Oreochromis niloticus: one gene and its partners. The protein of the gene in region 4 interacts with the protein of the main gene of each other region in a pairwise test. Links are inferred from orthologs where the notes say so. Each region holds a gene or a part of one and is shown on either strand. Other genes may lie near its edges. The genes, in order: heyl, dtx2, pom121 and RNA-binding protein with multiple splicing.

The links.
Region 1: the proteins of RNA-binding protein with multiple splicing (region 4) and heyl interact in binary tests that used the Homo sapiens proteins (3 or more experiments, as listed by UniProt). The two-hybrid records come from large-scale screens. The link is inferred for Oreochromis niloticus from reciprocal best matches to the Homo sapiens genes RBPMS and HEYL.
Region 2: the proteins of RNA-binding protein with multiple splicing (region 4) and dtx2 interact in binary tests that used the Homo sapiens proteins (3 or more experiments, as listed by UniProt). The two-hybrid records come from large-scale screens. The link is inferred for Oreochromis niloticus from reciprocal best matches to the Homo sapiens genes RBPMS and DTX2.
Region 3: the proteins of RNA-binding protein with multiple splicing (region 4) and pom121 interact in binary tests that used the Homo sapiens proteins (3 or more experiments, as listed by UniProt). The two-hybrid records come from large-scale screens. The link is inferred for Oreochromis niloticus from reciprocal best matches to the Homo sapiens genes RBPMS and POM121.

The regions. Positions count from the first base shown.
Region 1 is NC_031985.2:27,787,414-27,794,421, reverse strand, and holds the start of heyl (hairy/enhancer-of-split related with YRPW motif-like protein), read right to left. Parts: upstream 3,001-7,008; 5' UTR 2,512-3,000; coding exon 2,432-2,511; intron 316-2,431; coding exon 249-315; intron 159-248; coding exon 75-158; intron 1-74. UniProt on the Homo sapiens protein: Downstream effector of Notch signaling which may be required for cardiovascular development. Transcriptional repressor which binds preferentially to the canonical E box sequence 5'-CACGTG-3'.
Region 2 is NC_031975.2:27,654,107-27,661,969, forward strand, and holds the start of dtx2 (putative E3 ubiquitin-protein ligase DTX2), read left to right. Parts: upstream 1-4,854; 5' UTR 4,855-5,181; coding exon 5,182-5,491; intron 5,492-5,956; coding exon 5,957-6,542; intron 6,543-7,863. UniProt on the Homo sapiens protein: Regulator of Notch signaling, a signaling pathway involved in cell-cell communications that regulates a broad spectrum of cell-fate determinations.
Region 3 is NC_031975.2:24,313,474-24,321,352, forward strand, and holds the start of pom121 (nuclear envelope pore membrane protein POM 121), read right to left. Parts: upstream 3,002-7,879; 5' UTR 2,967-3,001; coding exon 2,392-2,966; intron 1,714-2,391; coding exon 1,507-1,713; intron 1,278-1,506; coding exon 1,128-1,277; intron 338-1,127; coding exon 257-337; intron 137-256; coding exon 1-136. UniProt on the Homo sapiens protein: Essential component of the nuclear pore complex (NPC). The repeat-containing domain may be involved in anchoring components of the pore complex to the pore membrane. When overexpressed in cells induces the formation of cytoplasmic annulate lamellae (AL).
Region 4 is NC_031967.2:14,331,527-14,339,182, forward strand, and holds the start of RNA-binding protein with multiple splicing, read right to left. Parts: upstream 3,012-7,656; 5' UTR 2,547-3,011; coding exon 2,484-2,546; intron 1-2,483.

The DNA of each region.
Region 1 (7,008 bases), on a different chromosome or scaffold from region 4:
GAAAGCTGCTTAATCTTTTAGCTTTATTGTCTAACTATGACAAAAAATATCATCATCTCAAATTCATTCCGTACCTGTTTTTCAAAAGCGCTGGGCACCAGTCTACGGAGCTCTGACAAGCTGTGGTTGATGCGGTCTCTGCGCCTCTTCTCTATGATCTGCATAAGAAAAAAAAAAGCAAACTGAGTTGCAGACCCAACTGAAAAAGAGACAGAACCGATTAACATCCAATGATCTAATCCACTCACCCCTCTTCTCTTCTTTCGAGCCAGAATCTGCGAGGCGCTGCCTGGAGACATGGACCCGGTGACTGGGCTGTACCACAAAGATAGTGTTGAAGCAAGAGAGCGAGATGAGTAAGAAGGGACACAGAGGAAAAAAAAAAGAAGAAAAAAATCATTTGATTTTCCTGCATATTGTTATTATTACCCTCCTTAATATGACACAGAAGCAGGATGGCACACCAACTCCCTTCAATCTAATTTGCTTTTTGGGCACAGAAAAGCAGAGCAGTGCCCGGGAGAGGAGGGAAGATGAGATTGTTTTCACTTTAATGCATTTCTGGACATTAGTCTCAGTAAAATGACATGCTGTTCTCCTTTCCGTCTGAGCAAAAGCACTTTTAGAAAAGATGATTATATAGCCTCGAGGCGATGCTTGCGCTCACATGGGGCTCCAGCACGCTGCAATGGGAGCATGAGCTCCTCCGAGTACAGTCATCCAATATGGATTGTGTTTGTTTGTGAACTCTCATCTTACAGGCCTGAAAGAGACTCCGAGCCTCACAGTTCCCTCCAAACTGGCCCGCTAGAGACTTATTGCGTTTCTATTAGATTTTAACATGAGGGCTGCCAGTTTAGCTGTGTGTTTTTGTTTAGGTTTATCTTTGATGGGGTTGACATGAAAAGGCAGCGCTGTCTTCTGTTTGCATGTCACATGGCAATTTAATTTATCTAAACCGTCTTTAGCGTTACTGGCTCGCTCAGCGCCTGTGATGTAAGCAGCACTGCTGGGAATGAGTTTTTGTATACTGTTACAAATACACTTTAATGACTGGCGCTTTGAATCCAAATGTCTTTTAATGCTAAGTCAAGGAATTTGACTAATTTATCTAAAAAGCAAAACGCTTTAATGACTTTAAAATAGAGTGTGCAGCGTTCAGAGTAATTTTACTGTTTATCGGGCATTTTCCACAACAATGGAACAAGTTACATGCAGTGGACTGCGCTTAATCACCTTGGCACTGCAGGCCGCGTTTGCATTCAAAGGTTAGAAGTTTTTTTTTTCCTCTTCCAGAAGTATTTTAGCATTTAACCAGCCGTTATAACTGTGTAGTTCACATTTTTTATCGGATTTTTCCAGTGCAAAAGCAAGATTTCAGTGTTGGGATTATAACTTTACAATAAAAGCTGAGAAAAACTCATTTGTTTGTGAAAAAGCAGTTTTTCTATGCCTGAAAATGCAGTCTTGGAAATGCAGCAGAAATGTGTGTCTGACACAGACGAGGAGATCTTTCATAAAGTTGCTAATTAAATAACACACTGTTTGCATGGAATAATAAAACTAAACTCATGTGGGAAAATGCACTTTTTTCATATTTAATGTGACGTAAAATATTAAAACTATTTCAGGGTTGTTTATTAAAAAGCAACTCATGAGCTTTCACTTGTGTTTCTCATGTGAAGAAATTTTCTACATCAACTGCAGACATTTAATTTTAAGACGTCATGCTATAATCATTCACTGTGGTTCAAATCAATTAATTTGTTATAAATATACATACATATATAAATTAATATTCCTGAGTGAATGACTTCCTGCTCATGTTTTCATCTCCTGTGTTGACACTGCAGCGTTGACAGGCCTTTTTTGTTTTACATGGATGTCACGCATGCAGCTTTTTCGACTAACCCCTGCACTTGCATGTGCAACAACTGCTGTAAAGCCTCTGTTTTACACAGAAAGTGAACACTGTATATCTTACCTATCGATCTAACATAAATCTGTAATATATCTGCTTTTCTGAACAAGAGAAATTCGCTGACTTGAGCCTCAAACTTAGTTGACACGTCAGTTTTTACACTGACATCACTGAAGCGGTTTTTAAATTTGCTTAAAGATTTATAACATACAAATTAAACCGTGTCAAGACTTTAAAAAAATAAAAACCTTTGCACCTGAATGCAGGAATCTTTAAATAATAAGAAGTTCTATTTTGCTGTAATTGCTTTATAAACACAACCTTCTGGGACTTCAAACTTTTCCCACAGTCTTTTAAACTCGTTACTGCGCAGCAGACTGGAAAACATGCTCGGGGCAAATTTGTCTTTAACTTTGTCTGCTAAATACAGCCGCGTGCCATGTAATTTTCTTTTCAAACATGATTGGAGGGAACGTGTTACAATCTCAGGTGTAACTGAAGGAGGCTCACCAGTAGCTATCTTCTTGGCCCACGTCAATGAACTCGTCGGTGTCCGAGTCCGGGGAGCTGTAATCGTGAGGTCTCTTCATTTCTCTGCCCCTTCCTCACTGGCTGGAGCGATGACGTCTGATGACAGAAGGACGAGGAGACTGACAGGTCTGGCTGGATGATCTCGTTGGTTCCTGTCTCTGCTGCTTGTAGAAGTCTCCCTCTGGATGAAGCACTCACCCTGCGTGCCCCTCACTCTCTGCTTCTCTTGCACAGTTACTTATAAGAGCTCTGTTGTCCTTAGTTACTTCTTGTCACTCGTGTTTGTTGTTTTCGCTGTCGTCGGTTCTTCATGCGTCTTCTTTTTTTCTCTCTCTCTCTGTGAGTCAGTGGTGCCACTTGATCAACCCCCAAGGGCCCATGACAACTAAGAAAATTCACAAGCTGCTTTAGTCTTTTACTCTATCACTGTCATCCAATCATAGTCTCTCTCTCTCTTTCTCTGTTATTTCTCTCTTGGCTCGCTCGCTCTGTCACAGCCACCCAATGACAAAACAGGACTTTGGCAGTTTGGGCAGGGTTGCCAGTTTTGGCTCCCCCGCCTCCTTTCCGTGTCCCTCCTCTCTCCCTTTAATCTGCCCTTCTCTGGCTTTTCACCCTCCTTCCCTCTCTCCCGCACCCCCCTCGGCCTCATCTTTCCACCCCTTTGCTCAATCATCCTCTGTCAATTAGCCTCCAATTTCATCCTGCTTTCCTTCCTTCCTTCCTTCTGTCCTGCTTTCTTTCTCATTCTGCTCCTTTAATTATGCTGTTCCATAGAACAATGGCAGCAGGAGGGAGAGCGAGGTGAGGAGTGTGGGAATTATGAACTGTGAAAGCACTCCATCATACAGAGGCGATACACAACATCTGATACTCGCACAGTCTCACGAGTCACTTTTGACTCGAGTTCTTGAGCAATTTTGTTTTGTGAGAGGGAAACGGCACAGAGTGAAAACACGCCTGCAGAGATGAAACGCAGCCAGCGCCGACCTTTGAGCACCACAAATGATACAAATAGAAAAGTTTTGTACTTGTATAGAAGGATTTTGTGAGAATATTTAAGCTGTGTCAGCAGTTTAACTAACAGTGTTGGCTGTTTTTTGCTCTTGTTTTAAAAGGTGACACCTAAAGTACCTAAATTATTATAAGAGTATACCGTAGGGATTTACAAGCAATGCCAATAATTTATGATCATCTTTGAAAATACAGCTTTTATCAAGCATCAATCTCCAGTGCGACAAATAATGTCAACAAAGTTTTAGAAAACTTCAAAAAAAATCATATCACTGTGTAGAAGAGATGGACATACCGCTTTGTGGTTGTTTTATGGAGCCAGAACTGAGCACACAGCAAAGTGCTAAGCTATCAGTTAACACTGACAGTTGACATTTATGAAAAATTGCTATGAAAGGATAAAAATAAGCAATAGTAAGCTACAGAAAGTCTCTGGTGGGACAGGGTTTTGGTAACAAGCTGTAAATTTCAGAGAGTGAGTGAAATTGGTGTTGATTTTTTCAATTTGGAAATCCACTATAGACTGTATAAAAAAGATAGACATAACCACTGTGACATCAGCTATCAGTTCACTGCTACAGGGTGGATCTGACTGTGAAATCAAGGGTCAGAGTACCAGAGTACCGTCTTCCTTTTTTACTCTAATAAAGACAGTAATTTATGCCAAAAATGTAATGTTTCCTTCATTGACTTGAAACTAGCAACGGACCCCAAAAATTACCAGGAAACTATTTATGAGTAACTGGAAGTCTTTTTAAAGAGTTGCCCCTGCTGGCCATTAAAGAGACTGCAGAACCCAGAGGCTATGCCCATCGTTTATATACAGTATATGTAAACTATACACATAGATGTGTGGGTCTAAAACATGCATCTTGCCAACTGATGCTGCTAGCGTTATCTGAGGACTCAGCATTCCACTTTCTCATCTAAATATGGTCGGTTCTGGCAACAGTCGAACAGCATAAGCAGGCTTTAAAACAGTTATCCAGAAATAGTGGGATATGTAACCATTTATATATTTAAATATCCAACTAATTATACATCTGTCTTTCATATGCATTCTATGTCAAGATGTAGATTTGTCACTATCTTTTTGAAATTACAGCTTCAAGTATTTCAAGATAAGAAGTGAGGCACAGATAAACCCAGCTTATTCAAATTGTTTTTATTCAGCCTGTGTGTGCAGAGATGAGGGCAGGTACTGAAGGGTCAAGGAGAGAAGTCACCCCACTGAGTGTCTGAACATCTGGGCTCTTCACTGGACAAGATAGCACTCTCTATACGCTCACACTCACACACACAGAGCTCACTCGCGGCACTTGTTTCCGCTGCCACCGTGGGAAGATTGCTGGTGCAGATTGCCATGGAAACATGAGACCCAGGCGCCGGTTGTTAGGAACGATGCCTAAGTGACCCAGCAGTGTGTGCATATGTGCATGTGAAAGACTGCGAGAGGCCAAGTGGCATGCCCTCTTGCACACAATGCCCAGCTGAGGGTGTCTCTTCCTGCCTGGCAGACTGGAAGGGTGTGTTAGTTTAAACATAGGCTGCGACAATGAATGAGTGCGAGGTCTTTGTGTATACTAGTTGGGCAAGTGAAGTCGTTTTTAAAACTTTAATTTGGTCATCTTTTAAATGGATTTCCAGTAGTCTTTATGTTCTTTTCCGCTTCATCTTGCTCAGCGTGACGACAATTGAGCCTTTCCTACAATCATTTTTGTCATGTCACATGTGTAAAGTAGTGGAATAACTTAAAACATGTGCAAGTGAGTGTGTTTGCAATAGCCAAGTGTGAGTAATCAGTGTGACCATCACCAGGGGGCTCGCAGTGTGGTGGATATGAGTCAGGACTAACAGAGTGGAGAAATCCCTTTTCTCTCCCAGCAAACAACCCCCACTACCCAGTTCACATATCCTTTCATTACTAATCATTCTCTAATTCAGATCTGGATTTCATTTCGGCATCAGAAAACTGGGGGAAAAAAAGATAAAAAGACATCTATGAAGTCAGCCTTCAGTGTTCTGTATTGCTATTTTTATCACCCACTCTTTACTTCTCTTCAAAGATTTACTTTCCCATTTGTATCGCACGTCTCTTTAAAAACAAGAGAGAGAGATCGCTCTGGTTTGCCGGCCACAGCGCCCAGCTGTTCCAAGATGAGGCAAGTTACAAGAAAAGAAAAAAAGGGAAAAGGAATGAAAAGTAATTAAGGAGATAAATGAATAAATAGATATATTAATTATGAAAATGGTTTCATGGTGGGGGCGTGTGCGAAGGAACGGTAAAGCCAACATAAGAGGGAGAAGAGAGCTGGCACTGGATGGTGGGATGGAATTCTGGGAGATTTCTGGCGATCTTGGTCGGCCACTTCAAGTACTCTCCCTCCCATCCCACCAAACCACAACAAGGCAAAGTCCCTTATTGAAATTAACAAGCTCATACTTTTACAATTTGCATACACACGCACACATGCGCAACTCAAATATGAACGTGTGAAGGCATGAGGACGCGCACGCACGCACACACGCGCGGGAGGCCACGCACTGATTCATACAAGCTAGCGCACACACGAAACTCCCTCACACGAATGTGGACAGCACATACCCACAATTTATAAGGCACAAACACTCAGCTGCAATTATTCTTTCTGATGCATGACTGCTGCTATTGTTTGAAACTCTGTGAGATGGAACAAGCTCAGCGGGGTATTTTGTTTGTGACTTTTTTCTCCACATTTTTCAGTCAAACTAAATAACTGATCACTGATACGTCTCACTGCATGGTTTGCTTTCATTATTTGTACTGTACTGTGTTTCAGTAACAGTACACCAACTTTATTTCACTTTTTCTATTTTTTTTTTGGTCAAATGTAATGTTCATGCACCAGTTTGAAAACAAACAAAGGGAGTTAAACCTGCTGAAAAAAGAAACACGAAAGTAAAATCCTATGTATCATAAATCTGAAGGAGGGTCTTTTTAATGCGTTTTTTAAATTTCTAATAAAAGTGAATATTTGGAAACGATGCAGATTTTCTAGAAAATTTGATTAACTATATGCAAATCAAAAGAGTGCTGTGTTATTATGTTAAAAAGTAGCAGTAAAATATCAATAATAAAATGTAAATCTTGCACATAGAACAAGCTAAAAAACGACACCTTCACATTCACAATATAATAATAATAATATAATATCTTATTCACAGAAACTGGAAAAGAAACAACAAGAGAACAAAGGAAAAACTCAGATGTGCAAAAATGTTTTTACCGAAATGACTCTGATAACGCTATACTGATACTGACTGCTATAATAGTGTGCTACAATGATGTGATTTGATAACACATGTAAAATTTGTGTTGAAGAAATGTGAAGTGTCTTAAATCACAAGTTATGCAGCCCAGCAGGGGTGACTTCTCTGATTAAAAAAGGGCGAAAATCTGACCTAATTTCTCACTTGATTGATCTCAGTAAACCCTTTTCTACAGCATGATCTCATTGGCTAGTTTTAGGTTTTGTTCCGTTTTTTTCATTAAAAAAAATTGC
Region 2 (7,863 bases), on a different chromosome or scaffold from region 4:
CAAAACAAACCAGAAACGAAGATGAAGGGAGGTCCGGGGAAATACACATGGAGAGACGCAGGGAGACTGAGGGGAAACAACACAGATGAACCAGCAATGAGGACGAGGTAACACACACTATAAATACACACGCCAGGAATCAGGGGAAGGGAAACAGGAGGGGAACACACCTGGAAGACATCACAACTGACGAGGCAGGGGAAAACGTAAACAGAACACACTGACATAAGACACAGACCTTCACAATAAAACAGGAACTACACATACAAGGACACACACGGGCCGAACAGAGTAAACACTAAACAGAGGAAGAACAGAACCAAAATCACCATAATAGAAAACACAAAACGCTGGGTCAAAAGGACCCAGGATCATGACACATTTTCTCAGTTTAAACATTTGATTTCTGTGGGGTTTTTTGTTCCATTGTGAACAAAGTGTGAGTTAATCAGATTTTCAACCCATTGCATTCATTTATTCATTTATTGTATCATATTTAATTTTTTTCACACAGTGTCCCAGTTTTCTCAGAACTGGGTTTGTTTGTATATCAAATGAGGCAGCATACATACTGCCACAACAAATACCATGTAAAAAGTGTGCATAGTTGTATCTGTTCACAGGATTTTTAAACAGTATTTAAAGATGTAGAAATGGCTAATGCAACATTTCCCATACCCAACAGATCAGTTTAAGCTTGCAAGTTTGTGATCAAATCCTTCATGGATCACAGCCCTCTGCTATTTAATTCTCCCTTACAACTGACTATTTGATCACTTATCTTCTTGTAAAGGTCTGCAAGACATCTGGACCAAAATCCATTTGTAAGCTGCTTATTAGCATTTACAACTGCAGACTTGATGAATTATGAAATCCATGATTTATTAACACTGATAAGTGTAGGTGACTATTTCATAGTGGCTGAGTAAAAATCAAGACTCCAAGATCCTTTCTTAATATCAAATGTACAAGCACAAACCTGATAAATATGAAACATCAGCCATTATTTAATAACCTTTATGTATATGTTTAATGTAATAAATGCTCACACCATGATAATGCTAAAGCTGTAAATCCTATAAGCAAGTTTGCATACAGAATGGCACCAATGCAGCTGTTAATGGCATTTCCAAATTGCATGTTGTCAAAGTAGACTACAGAGCGATGGGTCTAAATGTTGTGCTTTTAATAATTGCATTATTTTGCATGAATATTTCCAGCATTTTTGTATCCTCATTATCTTGTAAGTACTGGAGATGCTTACACTGCATTACATAATCAAAATGTCACGATCTAAAGCAAGAATCTAGTTTTTGTTTAGCACATTTTTTAAAATTTTGTCTGCTATACCTTATGCAACTACTGTTTGCTACAGAAAATGTCTAATCCCCGCTGAATGGCAGTGGTAGCTGGAGGTTGCTAGTGCTCGCTGGGTGAAAGTGGTTGCAAAGAAGGTGCTGCATCAAAAATCTTCGGTTGCTAGCTGATTGTATGGTTGCCTCAAATACTATATAATTGGTAGCAAAGTGGTAGTACAACTTGAAAAAGTGTGAAAATCTGTGCCTCGAGGTGCAGCCAACGTGTCTCAAAAGGTGCAACTTCCTTAGCAACGGGTGGTTACCAGATGGTTGCAGACAGGTATCGAGGCCTATCTGATTGGGGCCTTATTCACTCAATCTTACACTGATTGACACACATCCTACATGACATGGTTAACAGTAATTCCAATTCAGTTCAGTTTTATTTATATAGTGCCAAATCACAACAATAGTCGCCTCAAGGTGCTTAATATTGTACAGTGGAGACCCTAAAATATTACAGAGAAACCCCAACAATCAGATGACTCCCTGTGAGGAAGCACTTTGGCAACGGCGGGAAGGAAAAGCTCCCTTTTAACAGGAAGAAACCTCCTGCAGAACCAGGCTCAGGGAGGGGCGGGGCCATCTGCTGTGACTGTTTGGGGCTGAGGGGAGGAAGACAGGAAAAAAGACATGCTGTGGATGAGAGCCTGAGATTAATAATAACTCATAATTAAATGCAGAGTGGTGTATTAACACCATGTGTGGTTTGTGGTCATGTATATTCAAGACCTCAATAACAATTTCTGAGCATCACGAGATATATCATAGTTTCAATAGCAAAACTAATTTAATGTTTGTGAATGTTTTATGTGTTTTCTGATAATTCACTGGAGAAAACTCAAAAAACTAATAATAATAATTTGAAAAGTAGTGTTTGAAAGGTGGTCTTTTTACCTGCATTTTGATAGCAGGTTCATCTTCTAGTCGTGACAAAATCATTTTTAATTGTATTTTTTTAATGATTAAAAATGTTTTTTTAAGTGCAAGACTCTGACCCTGTATCACAGGAAACAGCAGACATGCATCCACATACATATCTGCCAAGCGGGCAGCTTTGTTCATCCTTTCGCCTCTACTTAAAATGTTGTTTGTAATTTGTGTTGTGATGACCGTGATGAAGGCCCCAAGTCAAAACACGTCTGTCAAAGAATTAAATTGTTCTGTATTCTAAAAGTATTGCTGGAGCTTTAAGCTCCTTTGCTCCATTATTCCATTTTCTTAACTTCTCATCCAGCTGAGGGTCACAGGCATGCTGGAGCCCATCCCTGCTGTCACAGGCACAAACTAGTCCGTCACTGTGCCTAAGTTTGCTTTTTAAAAATTTATTTTGCTTATTTACAGAATCACGGTAATGGACTGTGGCTCTCGTTCAACTCTATTTTCTCAGTTTTAAGAAGCGTGTGACCTTCAGCTACAACCAGGATTGTTTAAGTGGGCTGAGAAAGAGAGAAAACCGCCCCTAGAAACCTAATCATAGTGATGCCTGTGGATTATTGCAGGGACACTGCTTCTGTTCCTGTTAAATTTTTAAATGTCATTTCTTATTGCTGCAGGCACCACAAACAAAGTTCCAGTTACCTTCATGAGGAAGAAGGCAAAAAATCTCAAATGCATATTTCACAACTTCAGCTAATAAAACCAAAACTGTGTGGACAGATAGAAACTGTTTTTTATAAATCTATGTCATACGGGCATAAGGACTGCAAATCTTCCTTGAGATCATTTCAGTGTTTCTGTTTTCTTGTTGCACGAAAGACAAAGACAAAAAATAATAAGAACATCAGATGCAATAAATTTATTTTACACTGATAAATCTGAAAACATTTAAACTGCAGGACTTTAAGAGCAGACCTCGGGAAAAGATGACTCAAAGCAATGTTCTCACTGCTAAATCATTTGACTCCGTCTTCAAACCAAATAATGGCTGCTTGCATCATTTTTTACTGTCATTTTTTTGTGCGTGCGTGTGGAGACAATGTGTTCTAGTTACATTCGAAAAACCACAGATGAATGGTTTTATTTTTTATATTGAAACATCAGATCCTCGTCTTTATTAGTTATTATTATTACATTTGTCACTTTGAAACTACTTGGCATGGACTTGGCTATTGATTATGTGTCACTTTATGGGCTAAGGGGAAAGCTCAAATCCCATTTGGCCACTACTTTAATCAATGTTCACACTGGTGTCAGAACTGTCTAGTTCTATTATCACGTAGCCGAATTTAATGAACACCATCCTTACAAACTAGATCCAGTAATAATCTAGTTTGTGTGGCAGATGGATCACAAAGCCATTTATCGCCATCTTTAGTCTTATACCTGTGCTAGCACTGGAATTTTGGGCAGCATTCAGTTTAGTGGTGTCTGGTAAATAATTAGTAATTACTCAAGCAACCAGCCTGAGGTTTTAGAAGGCCGTTTGGTAGGTTTTCATATGCAGTTATTTGTGTCATACCCATTTATCTCCAGTTGAGGGCAGAAATACTACTGAGGGGGTTCTAATCTCCTTTGAATACAGAAGCAGGGAAAGAAGAGGGGGATAGTGTGAAAGAAGAAGAATGCAACCTTCATGCGCACCTTGTAAGTGAAAATTTTAGAGGTGAGGAGGTGTGCACAAAAAGCTTTTGTTTTAGTCATCTGCTGTAGTATTGGTCAAAGATGACATGAGAAATGGTGCTCCACCTTAAGAACTACCAACCCCCACCCCCGCAATGCCTTAAATAAATCATCACCTTGCACCACCACTTGTGCCAAGGAATGAAGACTGTCTGCGTGTTATCGGCTGAGATGATAAAGAAAAAAAATCCCAGATCTTTGCGGGCTCCAGATGTCACCTGGAAACATTTTAATCACAATTTTATTTCACAAAAAGACATTAGATGTATTTGATGAGATTTCACTTACACACATACGGGCCCCTTGTTACAAAGAGTGAATATTATTATAATACGGTTATTATAGTTAAACCAAATTAAAAACTGAAATTAGGTGTGAGAGGGGGAAAAAGGTTGAGTTTAAATAAAAGCCTAGACTTTAGAAAAGAAATAATTAAGTGAAGCAATAATTACCTACTTACTAAATTCTTAGTATAAAATAAAAGTTTTGTGATGGGGCATTGGTGCCTGTGTTTATTGATACTGGAATGTCTGCTTGTCTCTGTGTCAAGTATTTTTATCGCTGTATTGTATTTTTGCCCTAAATCTTGCCGCTGACGCATACCACCCATTACATTATAAATAAAAAGTGAATCTAATACTTAACCTAAAGAATTAATGAAAAATACACTAAAACTGAGCATTCTCAAACAATAAAAACAAAACTGAAATGACACGTTTAGCTCCGGAAACCGAATTAAAAACAAAAAATCACAACAAAAAAAGGATATTAAATACGCTCATAGTCTGTGTCACTGTGGTCTAAAATAAATATAGCTTTCAGAAAGGGGAACCAGCGGTTTATGTACGTTTTCTGTTTCAGATTGAGACGAGAGTGGTGATATTACCGACGGTCCCTGAAGGCAGCGGCAGAAGAAGGACGGATTCCTGGCAACGCCGCAACAAAGCTAACGTTAACCATGTACTGCTAAGCCGTGTGAATGCATCAGCTTCGCAAACATGTACTTAGGTGTTTATCTGGGCCGTCTACCAATTGATATCTACCTCATAACTTCCTCAAAGGCGCGTTAACACATTCATAATGGAATTTTTTAACGAGCCAAGCTAGCCCAGCTAGCACACTTTGTCTTCGTCGCAGCCACAATCGGTTGACTAGCTAACCAGAACGAGTTGTTGTTAGCTTAGGGCTAGTTTTGGCGAATATGGCAATTGTGTCTGGGTCCTGTGCCAGGGTAAACGGGTCTAGAAACGGGCCTCCTGTGTCAGCTACACCCTCTGGATCCGTCGGGCAGTCTCAGCCCATGATAGCGGTGTGGGAATGGCAGGATGACCAGGGCTACTGGCGGCCTTACAGCGGCCAGGTGAGCGCCTACATCGAGCGGTGTCTGTCACCGCGGGGCCACAGAGGAGGAGCACCCGGCTCTACGAGCATCTGTCTCGGACAATCAGACCCCAGCCTGTCGCCTTACCTCATTGACATACCAAGCTTGAAGCAGTTTCGACAGGACACAGGTAAACATATCTAACACGTCATGGCATGACCTTTACGTTTATTCCTCGTTAACGGTTTTGCCTCAAACCTCACAGGCCCGGTTGGCTGTAACGTTAGCCGGCTAGCATTAGCTTGCAGGGGCGCTGTTGTTTTGATTGATGTAAGCTGAGAAGTATGCATAAAGTTACAGTTCTTTAGCGAGATTTTTACTGTGAACCTAGCTACAAATCATTGAAATACGTCACAACATTGTGAGATTAACATGTAAAGATGCTTGGAGTGTCTTAAACTGTCATAATTTTGTGTGTGTGTATGTGTGTTTTAAATTGAGTTATAGTCATATATGTAATGTGTCATTAGTTCTGGCATACAAGTGAATGAACAGGGGGCTTTTCGTTTATGTCTTAAAAACAAAACACACACACAACTTTGCAGTTTTCATTCAGTTTATTCACTAAAAATCAATGTGCCTCTTTTATTTTTAGGTAAGACCCGGTCAGTACGCCGGTCTCTGTTTGCCCAGTCCTCCGGCCTTGGTAGTGGTGTTTACTGGGAATGGGCCAATGATGAAGGAGGATGGACCCCATATGAGACTCGAACCTCTATCCTTTTGGAGCACAGCTATCAGGCTCGCCAAGGCACAGCAGACCTGGGCCCGCATGGATACAATTATATAGTGGATCTCACATCTCTGGCGCAGGTTAACAAATCGACGGGTTTCAGACGCCAGGTGCGACGCCAGTGCAACCTCCCCTACCCGCTGGCTTCTTCCGGACCCCCAGCTATCCCCTCGGGCCCCGCCTGCTCCTGCCAGCAGTGTTTAAGCCACAGCAGCACCGGACCCATGCCAAGCCGTTCGCGACATTCCTTCTCATCAGGGAGTCTGAACCGGCCTAGTCTTCAAGGCACAGGAAGGGCTGTGGCGGCTCATCCCACTTCTGTCTACTCCCCGTACCCCAGGAGACCTCTCTCAGTTGGTGGCATGTCCTGGGGCAGCCCCTGGGCTCCACCGACATCTGGCAGCCAACTTTCTGCATCTCTGACCAACTCTACCAGTGCCAATGGGTTAAGGTTGGTATCTGACACCTATCCTATCCTCAATTGTGTGGTTTGGTTAGATGTGCAGGGTTCATGTTACAAGGTCCTCTATCTGCTTTCCTCCTCTTCCTCTTTGTCTTTCCTGCCTCTGTCAGTGTTGACCTTTCTTGTAAAACAGGAAAGGCGGAAAAAAAAAAAACAGATCTGTAGCTCCAGTACTTCATTGGTATGTTTGCTTTGGCTCACTTCCTGTGACTCTTGTCTGTGTCATCACTGACCTCCCTTCTTTTTGTTCCAGATAGCAGAGAAAGCTTACTTACAGGACAAATTGCTTAATTCAGTGGTATAATAAATATCTAGTTCACTTGCAGCTTCTCTGGGCTTTAATTTTTTTGCACGCTGAGTTTTAGCCACTAGAAATTAAAACTAGTGTATTAAAAACATGGTTGCTCAGTAGACAAAAGAATTGCCTACATTTTTGCGGTGAATGTTTACATTCACTAAAGCCCACACTTTCACATTTCTCTTTGAGGTGTATGCTTTACAAAGAGAAATGGTTGCCATGTGTTTAATTTAATTCAATTTTTTTAACTCCTGGGTGTGGATGCTAAAGGAGGTGCACCCATGCATGGAAAAAATAATCATTATTGTGTAATAGTACATCATAATACTCCCTTTCAAGTACTTTAATTGCCAAGACTTGTATGACTGAAAAAAATGTTGCAAACTTCCTGTCCATTGAGTCACTCCACCCTTTTGGGTCACGGCTGCCTGTGGTGTTCTCCCTCTTCCCTGCTCCTTGATCCCAGAGCAAGGAGTCTGTGGAGTCCATCCGACCACGGAACCACAGAACAAGGGATTCTCTTAACTTGGCTCACTTTCTGCTACAGTTTGGCAGTCGGCTTCAGCTCTCTTTTGTTCACTGTGTGGCTCTCCTGGGTCACTGTGCCGCCTGGGGCTCGCTTCGCCCCATCTGCGCCAGCAAATTTCCTGGCGGGTGCCCTTGTAACATGAACTGCATGGTCAAAAACATCCGTTAGTCTGGATCCACCATCATCCTCACCTCTATTTTAATTCCTTTGTTATGTTTTTCATTTGAATTGTATTTAAAAGTTTAAGGTCAGTTACTGTATTATGTTTAACTTAATGAACAATTGTATTACTATCTTTATCTTTACAGTTGCGGACATGCTGTCATAGCCCATAATCATTCAAGCAATATGTCTTTCAGACTTCTGTGCACAGAGCCCTTTGGCTACAGAAATAGACCAGTACCACCTCAGCACTGAGTCAGTGTTGCCTTTTTGCAGCCCTTTAACTGGATTTAGTTTAGCGCTCCATCATACTCGAGGAC
Region 3 (7,879 bases), on a different chromosome or scaffold from region 4:
GATGGCATTTCTCCTGGTGCCCGGGGTTCCTCTTGGGGCATGAGCTCCACTGCCAGAGCTGATTGAGGATGTCCGAGACCTCTTCATAATGGACTCCTCAGTCACTGAGGTCATCCCTCTTTTCAGACTTCCCGGCCTGGGAAAGGGAAAGTATTTCTCTTAATGCACAGGTAGCACCACAGTATACTTCACCCTGTACCACAGGTTTTCATAAGACATGATCTAACAGCATGACTAGTAGAAAAGTTTAACTTACTTCGGAACCAGCTGTGACGGCGTACCATTGGGCAAAAGGGGTTCAAAAGCAGAGTGTGCACTTCCACCGCTGTCATTACGTCTTAGGAAGTAAAAAATTAAAACAAATAAAATGGAAAAAAAACAACAACCATTTATTATTTTTGAAATATAGAGAAATAGAGAAAATAGAGATAGAGAAAACCTATGTAAAATGTGCTGTGTTAAGTTTTAGTGATATTTCCAATTTTCTTGCCATCCTTCAGTAACTCAAAACTGCATTTGAGCTCCGGTAATGTATTTATAGAAGACTTTAAGTCCACATTTGTATCTTGTATTAGCATGTGATCTGTATCTATTCAAATTATTGGGGAAAAAAAAGGGAAGCAATGAATACAGCATTATAATGCAGCTGTTATATGCATTCACAAGAATGCAAGGCCTTATGTGGGAGTGTATACTTTGTTGGAACATTACATTAGAAGAGTGAGCTTTACAAGTGCACCACAAATGGACTGGGAAATGGTGTTAATAGGAAAAAGCTATTCATCCATTCTGTTTGCAGCTGTCCGTAAAGCTAAGAGACAGAGACAACTGAAAGCATCAACAGGCAGTTTTTCTGTAGCCTTGCTAATAACCACACTATGTATTACCTACAGACCAAGAAGGTTTAAACAAAACACATGATACTTTTTGTGTCTTAGGTTTGCTGTGTGAGTACAGTAAGTTCTTTTTTTCCAGTCTATTTTTTAAATTTATTTCAGTTTAAATGTTTTTATACCTACTTTTAGTTTACTATAATAACCTTACAGCTATCAGACAAAACAAAGTGTTGCCAAACTACATAAAAAGGCAAATATAAAGCTTGTCAGCATTCATGTGCTGCCTCGTACCTTCTTTTGCTTTTCTGCTCAGTTGTAAAGCTCCTGTCCTCGTCCTCCACTTCTCTCTTGCGGCTTTCCTTCAGCACCTTGAGGACACTCTCTCTGGAGCACGGATCGGCAGGTGCTCTGGGGAGAACGGCATAACTCAAATGGTCCATGCTGAAAAAAAATAAAGCAATCAAACACAAAAGTCAGAGCTGCCGACAACACACAAATCAGGGATTTACTAAGCGTTGGATAAAAAGAAAGGTAAACAGCCATTGCAAAAGTTGTATCAAAAGGGTTTTGACATTAATCTCTTAAAACAGGTTATGTTAGAGTTTAAAGAGATCTGATTCAAGCTGATGATCTAAACTGAAACACTGTAATGCATAGATCATGCAGAGACCTGGGGGAGCTGTGGTCAGGCCTGGCGATCTTCACTGTGACAGGACTGAGGGCAGCCGGGGAATTGCGAGGGCTGAGGATGTTTTTCTTTCTGAAACCGTCCCATTTGACGGGAGGAAGGATTCCCACTGACGAGACACCCGGCTGCTGCAGGGGGTAGTGGCGCTGGGGTGTGATGGTGAACCTGCTCGCTGCTCCCAGTGTCTCCCTGCAGGACAGAACAATTAGAGGCCAAGGCAAAATGAAGGGTCTTAAAGTCTGTTTTTCGTCTGTGTTTTTGTAATCCCACAAATGGCCATAATAGATTTTTATGGGAAAACCCAAACATATAATACTCACTAATATTACAGAAAACGTGAACTGTTGTTCCTGTCTCTAATATTTCATGTCAGATACCATTTGTCAGTCTCTATAATGGTTGGGGCGATAGCGGAAATAAATCCCATTATTAGGTAAAAGTCTAATGCTTTGTTTTGCTTTCTAAATACATTATTACATTGCCAATACAGCAAACCTGCTAAATATGCTTTTCAGCTCCAAAGTAATTTATATGGCCGACAATTCAAGTTTTCTATCATAACTGTTCACAGATTGGAAATGCCGGTACTATATTAGTAGTAAATTACTGTAATGGGAAACTTTTGCACATGACTTAACCTGTACACATATATACGTATAAGGTTGCAGTAACGTGTAGCACATTTGGATAGCTGTGTGGAGCTACAGAGATCGCTCTGACGGCTCAAAGGTTAGTCATTAAAAACCGCCAAGCTGCACCTTTAGCCTTTTGAATTCCAACAACTTAACCGCCTCCATTCAAAAAGAACGGGCTGTATTACGCCGGTAAAACCGTGATGTGATTGATTTGATTTTAGCCTGAACATACCCAGCAAATGAAAGCCTTCTGTTTGGAGTATAGACGGCATGGTTGGGTCTGGCTAGCTTTTCCCGGAGCTGCTCTCGGGGATTTCTCACGGCTCTCCGCCTCCCCGAGTCGGCGGTTGGGCTCTCCGGTTTCCCGATGTAACTCCCCATGAGAAAATCCCGGGGGCTGAAAAGAAAAGACTCGCTTGATAAGGATTCCTTTCGATAAACGCCGCTTTCAGCGAGTCTTTGTCTTAAGTGTCCTTCTGATTCCCGGAGCTCGGCTCTGTTGCTGTCGCTGCTCTTCGCTCTCCCCCGTGCGGGTACCGAGACGCCGGTCGCCTCCCAGCTCCACAGCCAGCGCCGCACTACGGCCGGAACGTTTAGCCCACCCCGAGGATTCGGGCCTAACCTGGCGGGAAGCGGTTCTCCGCTATGATAATAACAGGCAATACAACAAACTGCAAGAATTAAGGTCACATAAAGAAAAGTAGGAATATAATAAAAAGCGAGAGTAACTAGGCCTAGAGCAGAGAGAAGCAATAAATGTTTTTCTCTAGGAGACATGGCGGCAACGCGCCGCCGGAGGACTCTCATATCCCATCATGCTGTTCTTCCGACATTACTTCTTGGATTTATATTTGTATTCACGCGCATTAGCGCCATCTACCGAGGTGGGGCTGTTAAACGCCGCCAGTGTTACTGCTCATTAAATTAATCTTCCTTTTGCTGAACCTAGGACAAATGTAATGTAAACTGTTGTGTAAAACATATGTATGATTATTATTTTTATTTTTTTGCATATTCGTCACACTTAAATGTTTCAGATCATCAATTCAATTTTAATATTAGACAAAGATAACTGGAGTAAACACAGCATGCAGTTTGTGAAGGGGATCCTGATAATAGTTTGGGACTGGTCAGGGATGAGTCTTTCCAGGGTCTGACGTGGGAAGTCAGTGCCACAGGCCTGTAATCCTGGGGGCCGCTGTGACGTCTTCCACACTGGGACCCTCTGCGGGCTCAGATTCACCATGAACAGTTAATGAAAGACTCCACAAAGCTGGGGGCACAGGCCTTGAGGACAAGGGGACTCACCCTGTTTGGTCCAGCAGACTTGCCTGAGTGGAGTCTTCTCTGTTCTCTTTGAACCTGGTCATGAGTGAAAGCGCTAGGTGTGGGAGGGGTGTCAGGATTTTCATAAGATTTTATGGTGCAATATGGAGAGAGAAGGAGAGAGAGTGGCGTGGCTGTGGATTGCAGGTTAACTACAGGTAGGTCAGTAGGGGGGTGAGCATTTACTGCAGTGTCGAATCTGTTAAAAACGAATTCAACTCATTGGATCTGCCCTCATTCAGATGCTGAGTCTGTAACCGGGCTTTGGCAGAGTGGATAATGTCAAATGCAGCAGTGGGGTTAGAAGAGAGGGGAACATAAACAGCCACCAAGATTACATGGGTAAATTCCCTGGGAAAATAATCCGGCCTGAGTCCAACAGCGCATAGTTCAAAAATCACCAAACAACAGTGGACCTTTAAATTTAGATTTGCCATACTACTCTTCTATTTACCTAGACAAGACCACAGACAAGTGTTTTTAGCAGAATGTTAATTTTTATTTTGTGATATTATTTAAACATGTTTTTTCTTGGAAGGAGTACGATGAGGACTTTGGGATGGAGATAATGAGAGTGAGAGCAGGATATATGAAGGAATGTTGGTGAATCATTAGTAAAGAGGAACTGAGGGCAGCTATGAAGAAGATGAAAGTGGAAAACCAGATGGTCCAGATGACAACCTGTGGAGGTATGGAGATGTCTAGTAGAGCGAGCAATGGACTTTTTGACCAGACTGTTTAACAGAGAATGCCTGGATGAGGTCAGATACCTGGGGTTAACCATCCAAACCAATGGACAGGGCACAAGAAAGGTGAAAAAGAGAGTGCATGCAAGGTAGAATAGGTGGAGGCTGTTGTTAGGGGTGATTTGTGACAGAAGGATAGCAGCGGGAGTAAAGGGTAAGATTTACAAGATGGTAGTGAGACCTGCTATGATATATGGCTTGGAGCTGGTATCACTGAGAAAAAGATAGGAGGCTGAACTGGAAGAGAAACAGCTAAAGATGTTAAGATTTTCATTGGGAGTGAGCAGAATGACAGGATTAGAAATGAGAATATCAGGGGGGCTAAGCAGTTTGGAGACAAAGTTAGAGGCAAGTCTGAGATGGTTTGGAAAAATGCAGAAGAAGGGACAGTGGATATATTGGACAAAGGATACTGAAAATGAGGAAGAGCACAGAGAAAATTCATGCATAGGGACTGGTGTGACAGAAAAGGAGGCTATGGATAGGGTGAGATGGAGGATGCACTGTGGTGCCCCCTAAAAGGAACATCTGAAAGACGAAGAACAAAAAAAGAGGATAAAATGTTTTTCTTGATTTGAAATAAATCAAACACCATATTATGTCAAAACATACAACAAGGAAAACAACAGAAATTATGGCCTCCCTGAGATTTATATTCATGAATATGATTGTCATTACTTCAGAGAATGTCACAGTTGGTGTACAAAAAGAGGTATGAAAGTCAATTTAACTCTCTGAGTCTGATCAAATCACTACCCTTTCAGCTTGTTCGTGGCCAAAAGTGGCCACCTACAGATTAGGTCTGTAATTTTTATTATTTTTGGTTTTTTGCCATTTTTTCTGCATAAAGCTTTTAAGTAACTTCAGTTCTTTCCATAAATATAAAATAATTATTACTTTTTTATTTTTTAACCCTTTAAACACCAGTTTGTTTGTCCACTGCACCAGCTGGATGACAACCTCAAATCTCGCAATTTTATATAATTGCATTGCTACTGAAATTTCTTGTATAGAGTCTGGGGCATATAATTGATTCACATCAACACTGATTATAATGCATTGTTATTTTAGTGCAGAGAGAGCAAAAACATAAAAACTCCCTCTCAGACTGTTCGTGGCCAAAAATGGCCACCCCTTGTTTACATTTACAAAATGCTATAAAATTCATATATATTAAGAAAAATGTCCAGTTTTTTTTACATGATTTTTTAGATTAGCATCAGGGCTGTTCATGAAAATCACAATTTCATTAAAATTCTGAAATTTAACCCTTTAAATACTAGTTAGAGCACATAATCATAACAACTCATAAATAGAGAAAATCATAAAATCCCAGTTTTTTTTCTAAATAATACATGCCATCTGATTTATTTGCTAACCATGATGAAGGTTAGATGCATAGCAATAATTAACAGCATCAATGACATTTATGCAACATTGTTTTTTTCTGCAGTGGCAGAAAAACAAAAAAACTCCCTCTCAGACTGTTCGTGGCCAAAAATGGCCACCCCTTGTTTACATTTACAAAATGCTATAAAATTCATTTATATTAAAACATTTTTCTACTTAGACCAACTTCATTTTTAAATGAAAACCAGTCCTAGTCATGAAAACCAAAATATAATTCAAAATTAGAAATTATACCCTTTGAATACCAGTCAAATTATATGTTACTACTATGTTTTTGGGGGGGAAATAGCAATAAAGTTCAAATTTTTTCAGCAGTTGAATGACGAAACCTTTTCTTTTTTTTTTAAATCATTGCAGGTCAGTGCCAGTAACAAAAATAATAATTATTAATATTAATATTTTGTATTATTCCTGTGAGTAATGACCCCAATAAAAGAAACTCCCACCTTGTTAGTCATGCCAAAAACGGCCTTTTATTGCTTGTTTGTACAAAATACATCCTCTTTCTGTGTGTGTGTGTGTGTGTGTGTGTGTGTGTGTGTGTGTGTGTGTGTGTGTGCGCGCACTCAGGGAAGGCAGGACACGCAAACCACAGCAGAGTGATCTTTGCAGACACTCTTTCCACAGCTGGAGCAAGTGGTTGCCGTTCTTCTTCTGTTTATACACAGTTCGCACCTTTTCCTCATTTTGTTGATGGGCTGTGGGTCATACTCTGATTCTGATTCTGACTGCTGTATCTCAGCAACAATAGCAGCGGCTGCTTTTGAGCGTGGGGCACAAGGCCGTCTTGCAATTTCTGGAGTCACCAGCATGTGGCCCAGCTCCTCCAGGAACACCCTTCGTTGGTGGGTCTTGGTGGACTCCCACTCAGGATGCACTGCTTTCCACAGGACAAAGGCACTGTATGCTGAGACGTCCAGAAGATTGTAGAACAGAGCCAGTGGCCAGTGACTGGTTTTCCTCCGACAACTGTAGGTGCCAACAACCTTGTCTAGGTTATCCACTCCACCTTTACACCTATTGTAATCAAGGATTGCTGCTGGCTTCTTCTTTTCCCCATCACTGACTGCTGGTTCCCTATGCTTTGTGCTCAAAAGAAGCACATTCTTCCCTCGCTTGGGCATGTAGGAGACTGCCATGGTTGTTTTGGTGAAGGCAAAGAGAGATGAAAGAATCTTCCTCTGTCTCAGCTGAACAAGCTGGGGAGGGAGCTCTGGTTTGTTTCTCCTGATTGTGCCAACCAGAGCTAGTTTTCTTCTGAGCAGCTCCTCTGCCAAGCTGAATGATGTAAAGAAGTTGTCACAAGTGACAGTGTGTCCTTGGAGCCCCTCTGTCAGTTGTAGCACAACTCTCATTCCCTGATTAACTTCCCGGGAACTTCCAGGTGATTTTCCTGTGTAAATTTCCATCTTCCAAGCATAGGAGGTTGCCACATCACAGGTCACCCAGATTTTAATGCCATATTTTGTAGGCTTCTTGGGCATATACTGTCGAAATCCACATCGACCTTTGAATCCAACCAGCTGCTCATCGACACACACGTCAACTCCTGGATTGAACAGCAGGGGGAGACGAGCAACCCACTTTTCCCACAGGACGCGAAATGCAGCAAGCTTATCGTTCCTGAAACGTCCCGGGCGGGTGAGCTTGTCATCAAAGCGGATGTTAGTGCTGATCTGGGAGTAGCGGTAGAGGGGCATTGTAGCACGGAATACTGCCCGTCCGGTCTTGTCAGCCCACAAACCACGCGATGCCTTGAGCGGTAGACACCAGCGAGAATCAAAATCCCAATGTACGCTCTCATCTCCACATCATCCACATCCCTCCAATCCTCACACTTTCGCCTCCCATGCAGGTTTGTGTGGGTGCACAGCAGCTGAATGATCTCTTCTGTCACAAACAGGTCAAATGCAGATCTCAGGGTGCTAATGCGGGCAACTGCATACAGGGTGGGCCCTGGAGTGATACCAGTGGGTACTGGATTGTAGCGCATGGTCTCCTCAGCAGTGGGAAACCACTCAATATTCCCAGAACGAGACATCCACTCAGCCACCGGCGCCCCGGCGTCTGCCGCTTCTTCCTACCGTCTCTGCCATTAGCCGCTCTGCCTCGACTGCTGTCTCTGTATCATTCTCACTTGCTGAAGAGGAATCGGGCACTGGATGGTAATCCTCATCACTGGTAGTGATGCTGTCATTCTCTGAGGAGACTGAAGAAGAAGCCTCTTCTTCAGATGCA
Region 4 (7,656 bases):
CACATACTACACTGCCCAAGAGGAGGGGCGGAGAGCTGCTGCTGCTCAGCATGTGAGAGTCATACCAGCAAGGCTGTTAAACTTTGGCTCTCTTGAGGTTATAGTTTATGGTTACCTCTGTGGTGTTGTTGCTGGCATTTTTATGCTTTCTGCATCAGGTGAAGGGACATTTGTGCAGACCAGACTTTCATGCAAAAAAAACCCCAAAACAAGTCAAACTAAGCCAAAGCGTGAATTAGTCTGAGTACATCCGCACGGGCCTGCAAAAAGCTTGAATATGTATCCGCGAGTGTGACACACTCCCTGCTCCTCTGCATGCAACACACACCGTTCCACAAAAGATAAAGTGGTGCTGTCTGACCTTAACGTTAATTCACCCAAGTAAATTTAAGTCCCTGCCGGTCTGGATGGCTTCCAAACATTTCCAAAACCATTAGATCTCTCTGGCCATTAGTCTCCTTTTTACGTCTCTGTCTGCCTGCCTTTTACACAACCTGCGTCTCATCTCTGAGCTTATGGACATCACAGAATTTTTAATAGCTGGGTAGAAGTTTGAAGCCTTGTGTCTTTGTTAAACTACAGCTAACATGGCTTATTTCCTGGTAGACCTATCCTGCAGTTGAGACCTTTGAATAATCTGACGCCCTCGTTTAACTGTTCAGTCTTACAAAATGATCCGTAAGCGGCGTGACTGTAACCGAGTGTCACGAAAGCAAAAAGAAAAGAAGCCAATCCTCACATTTTGAAAGCTTTCGTGCTTTAATATGATGAGTCGCTCATAAAAATGAGCAACTAAACATTTCAGCTACAAAAAGCTTGTGTTGATAGTAACAGATCAAGTGTTTTTCTTGTGTTTTGCCCTATTTTGGTTTAATTATAGCTGTGTTGTGCTCAACCTAATTCAAAACAGGCAGGTACTTAAGAAGGTGCTTTAGACAAAAAAAACTCAAGTATTTCTCTGGCGTCAGCTTCTGAAATGTGAGTATTTGCCACTTATGAGACTTTTAATTCGACATGTTTGCAGTTTGTACAGTTAGATGGTCATACACAGACATCTTTTGGTGCTGAGTAGTCATCTTTCTTTAGTTGAATATGTTCGTTTTACACGGACTAGTAGCTTTTTATTCGATTCAATAACAAGAATACCCTCAGGGCCATGTACTGGTTACAGGGCTCTGCTTGACTGACGTATTGTTAGTAAAAGGAGAAGGTGACGAAAGCTTTAAACTCAAACTCCCTAACCTCAAGAAATCAGCTCTTTGGTCTTTACCTCATCTGTGTGGTGCTACAGCAGTTCCCCCGCATCCATAGTAACCTCAACAGTGGACCAAATATGGTATTACATAAGGCTGGCTATGTCTCACTATTCAGTTACAAAGTGTCCAACGCTACACTGAGACCTAATCAAATTGCTCCAAGAGAAATATCTGATATAATCTGATACACCTTCCTTACATCACTCGACTGCGGATGTGCGGAGCTCTGAAATAACAAATCTGTCATTTGAAGAGAGATTCATCCGAGCCAAAGAAAATCGCCTCATGCAAAGAGAGCCGTTACAGGCTTATTTACCAAAGAGGAGATATTGTTGGGCCGGATTGTGCAATGTTTACAGAGGAGAAAGGGAAGAAATGAGGCTATTATCCTGCACGATAGAGAGGAAACATACTTTGAGAGCATGTTAAATGGATTTCCACCAAATGTTTTTCTTTTTTTTGGGGGGGGGGTAAACAAAGCCATTCTGTTTGTGTTTAGATGTAATTAGAAGAGGCTATTCTTGCTCCACTGTAATGCAGTGGGCTCTCTGTTACAACCCGTTATTACCTACATGTTGCAGCAGCAGTTGTTTGAACTTCAATTGCTCCCTCAGCTTCAGTGAAAACTAATTCGCCCTGGCTCTGAATTCCCTTTACTACTGCTTTCCAGTGCTGTGTGAAGTCTGGCTTTATTGTACAGTAAGACACAGCTAGCAATGCCGTAGCACAGCCAGGAAAAACACAGTCCTGACTTCAAAGTTATTCGAGACTTGCTAGTTAGTGATTCATCAGTGCTTCATGTCCTTCCCTGTTCTTGCTGCTGTTTTTAAAAAAAAAAAAAAATGACGGCTAACTTCAACAAGTCTACAGTACAATTTAAAGAAAAGTAGAGGAGAAACGTAAAAGTGAAGACGGGTGAAGAATTCAGTGCAATAACAGCGCATTACCTGCAGGAAACCGGTGATAGATGGTGTTATGAGCGAACCATACAGTCGGTCTAATAATGTAAACAGCAATACTGGAAACTTTTATGAGGTAAAACCAGATTACGGCACAGAAAACAAACAAACCAGCATAAGAGCTACACCTTAATGAATACAGGAGTGGAGGAAAAGAAGCAGTCGCTGTTAGCATGACTCGGTTTTTATTAAGGATGTCATTACGGGTCAAGGAGCCACCTACAGTATCACAGACAGACGCTCGAGCACCTCGGGCTCGCATACGTACCTCCTCCTCGTGGTTGGTGAATTCACTCGGCTCGTTTTCTTTCTCGGGTTTGTTGTTATTCATTCTGAGCGGGACTCTTTCTCACTTTCAGTCGGACGGCTCTTCTTTTCTTTCCTTGTTTCCCCCTCCTCCTCTTCTCTCGCTCTCTCTCTCTGAATCTGTTTCGCTCTGCGCTTCTTCTCCAGGACCCACAAATTCAAAGCACCCCTCCGACAGTCCGCGCGCGAGCCCGCTGTCCCCCTACTGACCCGAGCTTCCCACTAATTTGGCCACATCAATGATGACAGATAAACCTCATTAATTTTTTATATATATACATATATATATAATTACAATAATTCGCTGCGGCTGATGTTGCTGTTGAGTTGGATATTCCGCGGCATTCCCTGGAAAGCCTTACTTTTCGTCTTTTTTTAATTAGTATTATTTTTCCAGAGCCTCTTGCAGTTGCTGTTCCCCAAATGAAATACAGTAATGTTCACCGGACCGCGCCGCGAGCAAACTTCTCTACCCATCTCCTGCGTGCAGCAGGGGAGGGGAGGAAGAGAGGGAGGCGGAGAGCGGAGGGGAGGGAGGGGTTTGGGGTTGGTTGGGTGGGATGCACCCTCTGCTCGGCTTTATCAAGATTTATCAAGTGCTGCAAGAGCTTCAGTGGAAAATCAGTACCAATCACCCTTTGGACCACATGAATGTCATTTCTGTCACCACAGCACATATTCTCATATGTCCTGGTTTAATTCTTTGTTTTGTTTTTCATCAGCTGCTCTGGGCCTTTATTACACGTGCATGTTCTTATAATGTGTGTTTCTTATATATTTACTCAATGTCAGAGGTGTCAAACTCATTTTACATTGTGGGCCACGTACAGCTAACTTTGATCTAAAACTCCTCTTTCTGTCAGCCTATAGAAGTTTAACCACACATTTAATCCCATTTTTGTTTTAATAAAAGAAATATGTGCAAAAAATAAAATTACACAAAAGGTTCCGTTAGCTGTGCAAGAAATGTGGTTATGTTTGTATTTATTTATTTATTTATTTATTTATTTATTTATTTTTACTGTGAAATAAACACAGGAACTTGAACCAGATTGGAGTCTTTGGTGGATCTATTCTGGCCCCTGGGCTTTATGTTTGACACATCTGCTCTATGTTTAAGTTTTGATATTTTATATGAAACCAATTAAGCATAAAGCCTGGAAAAAGTAAAACCAGTCCCTTCAAATGAATCTAAATTGAAAAACTGATTTTCCTCACACTGTGTATGAAGAATATTTTTTTCAAAAGTGTATTTTCTTTTTGTTTGGTAATGTCCAGACGTTTATTAGACCTCTTGATAACATTAATAAACAAAGTATGGACACAAAGTTAAAACCATACTCAAAGTATCTGGGAAAATCACAGACTGTATATAAAAGATGGCACCAAACACCGTGACATCACACTTTGGTTTGTCGGCTTTTGTTATGAAGCGTCAACTTTAGTATTACAGCTGTTGCCATCTGGTTCATTTGGAACCAGAAGTGACTACATTAGCTGTTCTACTTTAGCAGCTGAGTCTAGTTAGTTTGGTTAGCAAGGTGCATAGACAGGGTAAAAGATGGACATCACTATTGTGGCGTCACCCACAAGTCTGAAGCGTCGAAGTAACGATAAAAAAAAAAAAATCAAAACAGATGTGACGAGGAGGGGCGGGTCTGGCCGTGAAACCGCTTGCTTATTGGAATCATAACTATTTACTCACAAGCCATTAGCCAATTAGCATAATCCTCCACTGCAAAACATGAACAAGGTTTACAAAATAGACTTTATTTATTATTCAATATGAAGTGAAACGGGTGACTTAGCCTATAAACCCAGAGATCAGAGCAGAAAGCTGTTTTCTGATAAACGTGTGTATGACACAAAGTCTTTTTGCAACCACAGCTATCACCACCTGGTTGCGTTCAATAGAAAGCAGATTTAAGGCACTTCTGCACTGGCTTTATTTTACAGAGACAGAAGCTACATTCATGTTTATGGGTGCAGCCACAGGTTGTAAGGGATTAATCACATAGACACAGGTACTTGTTAATTAATAATAATAATAATGGATTGCATTTATATAGCGCTTTTCGAGACCCTCAAAGCACTTTACAATTCCACTATTCATTCACTCTCACATTCACACACTGGTGGAGGCAAGCTACAGTTGTAGCCACAGCTGCCCTGGGGCAGACTGACAGAAGCGAGGCTGCCATATTGCGCCATCCGCCCCTCTGGCCATCACCAGTAGGCGGTAGGTGAAGTGTCTTGCCCAAGGACACAACGACCGAGACTGTCCGAGCCGGGGCTTGACCCGGCAACCTTCTGATTACAAGACGAACTGCCAACTCATGAGCCACGATCGTCCAAAAATAACATACAAAAGGATGTACAATTAAGAGAATCCACACTATCACTGGATAAATGTATAAAAAATGCTCCAAAGGCTCCAACACTACAAACATGGACAAAAGGTCAAAAGGAGTTCATGGAGCCTGGCTGACACTGAGCAGCCTAGTCAACCACACACTTAACTGTAAGCTTTAAAACAATGTAAACTGATCAAATTTATTTACAAAATTCAGCCTCTGTACAGTTGTTATGTAGGGAAAATACCTTTTTTTTTTAACCATGTGTTTAGTTTTGTAGTAAATTTGGGCCATTTGACTAGAAGTCTGCAGGGACTGACTCACGTTTGAAATCAGCCTCAAGTGGACATTTGAGGAACTGCATTTTATGACTTTAAAATTTGACTTCAAGGTTGCTGTTGGGGATTAAATTCAGTTGAAATGATTCAGCACTCAGCAGTACTACTACATGCATGTTTATTGTCATCCCCCCCCCCAAAAAAAACAAAACAAAACAAAAACACACACACACCTATACATGTGAGATGTTCTAGTCACTCCAACACTTTTAAGTCTCACTCACATTCACACCTACAGGTGCTTTTAGGACTGCCTGACCTGCACGCCTTTGGACCGTAGGAGCGAACAACAGCACTTGGACAAGATGAAAACTCCTCATATAAAAATGAATCACCAAGGCTCAAAGCCAAAACTTTATTGCACCGTAGAAACAGCGCAAATCAGCACACTGCTGTGGCACTGAAAGTACACGAGGCATGTGAGATTGTGTCCCGTCACAGTCTTTTATAATGAGTCTTTATATATTGGTGCTCGACACATGAGCAGCCTTGTATAACCCTGAAACAGCCTACCCTGATCAGTAAGCAGCTATGACTCGTAGTATATTTTTCATATGTGTCTTCATGTTGCTATATAGTTTTATGCACCACAGTTTTAAAGTCACTGATTTTACTGTATGTCTATAACCTGTTGACTGATTAACCAAGTTGCACTGCAAACATGGTGAGCATAAGATGACTTGTCACCCGGAAAGGCATGCACACTCAGGACTATTTCTCCCCTCTTGAAACACAGAAGTCAGCAAAATTCATCGCCTGCAAAGCAGGAGATGCAGACAATTATCAACCTGACTGCTTAATAAATTTCACGTGCCTCTCAGTTCATCAGTTCAAGGCCTCGGAGGGGTTCTGCCGTTTCAGCCGAACGGTTCTTCTCACCCGTCTCCGTGTGGATTTACAGTGAGTAGGCCAGGTTGAAAACAAAAGAGGAACTGGAGATAACACCTGTAAAATGCTCAAGATTGGGGCGTGATTAGTTGCGCCACTTCATAGTGAGCTCACCGTCTATGACCTCAGAGTGCAGGGGTGAAAAAAAAAACAGCTAAATCCTGGAGGTGTGGAAATAATGTTGCAACAACAACAACAGGAGAAATACTAAAAGTTAAAATACTAAAAATGTCATTGGCGTTGCCTGCTGTTGTCTACGGTGAGGGCTGCAGAACAGCCTTAAAAGCGGCGATCAGGTGACAAGGCAGCCTCGAATTGTTTTTACCGTTTCAAAACATTTATTTTGAGCAACTGCCTCACTTTGTATTCTGCCGTGAAAAGTTCAGGAGCTGACAGCAGCTCCGTCGTGGGGACTTTGACTATATGTTGCGTGACACTTATTGCACAGGACAGGAGCTCGCTTTTTTATGACAGCCTGCGCAGAAAAGAGAGAGAGTCTGTCTTTTTTTGCTGAACTTGCACCTCAAAAGCAACAAAAGAAGGAAAAAGCAGTCGTCGTGGATGGGTCGTACAGATTCCTGCTCTTTCCCCTCCCTGATCACGTCTGTATCAATTACGCCGCGTCTGAAGCGTGCGCGCCGAAGAAGGGACACGGCAGAGTCTTTTTATGCTGATGAGAAGCGGCTGATGGGAGAGGGAGGAGGGTCTCGGAGCCTTCGAAGCAGATAAAAATGGAAATGTTCCCCTTTGCTTCTCGACACCCCTGTATCAAAGCTTCCAGCCTGAGTCTGGGGAGCAAGGAGGGGGAGGAGAGGTAGGAAGGCGGAGGAGAGGATGGGATAGGAGTTGAGGCGGGGTGACGGAGAGAGCCGGGTGGGGGAGATGTCCCAGCTGTGTTTGACAGGTCTCAGGGCTGAGCTGTGTGGTCTGATGCTCGGAGAGGGAGGGTGCCCACCACAATAAAAGCACACACACACACACACATACACAGACAGACAGACACACACACACATACACTGGGGGTTGGGGGGGAGAAAGAGGAGCCGGCAGGAGACAGACTGGTCACGGTGTCCTGGGTAACATGTCAGCAAGCTTTGACATGGTCCAGCCCAACGTGAAGATATCTCTGTGTTATCTAAGGGGCTGCTGGGTTAGCACAAAGCAACAATGTCAGGCAGGCTGCTCAGAGAAGCTTTGTTTCTTTAAGAGTTGATAAAAACAGAAATAACGTGCATATTAATCTCACTTAAAAGGACCCTGCCTTGTTGAAGAATTGGGGAAAGAAGGTCAGAACTAATACTTGAAAGCTACAATCAATCGGGAGTCAGTAAGGTTGGATCAGCATAAACATCATCTAACCCAGCTCTGTTTGAACCTGAAAAGAAAAACAGGCACCTACCAATAACTCAGTTCTTACCTATTATATTGGTTTGATATTTCACCACCTTCCCTGAAGTTCTTTTAAATGAGCCCTGCTGGGGAATTTCCTCAGATTCAGGTCTCAACAATGTCCGAAGACTTCTCGTCTCACATTTAAACACAACAGGAGTCTACT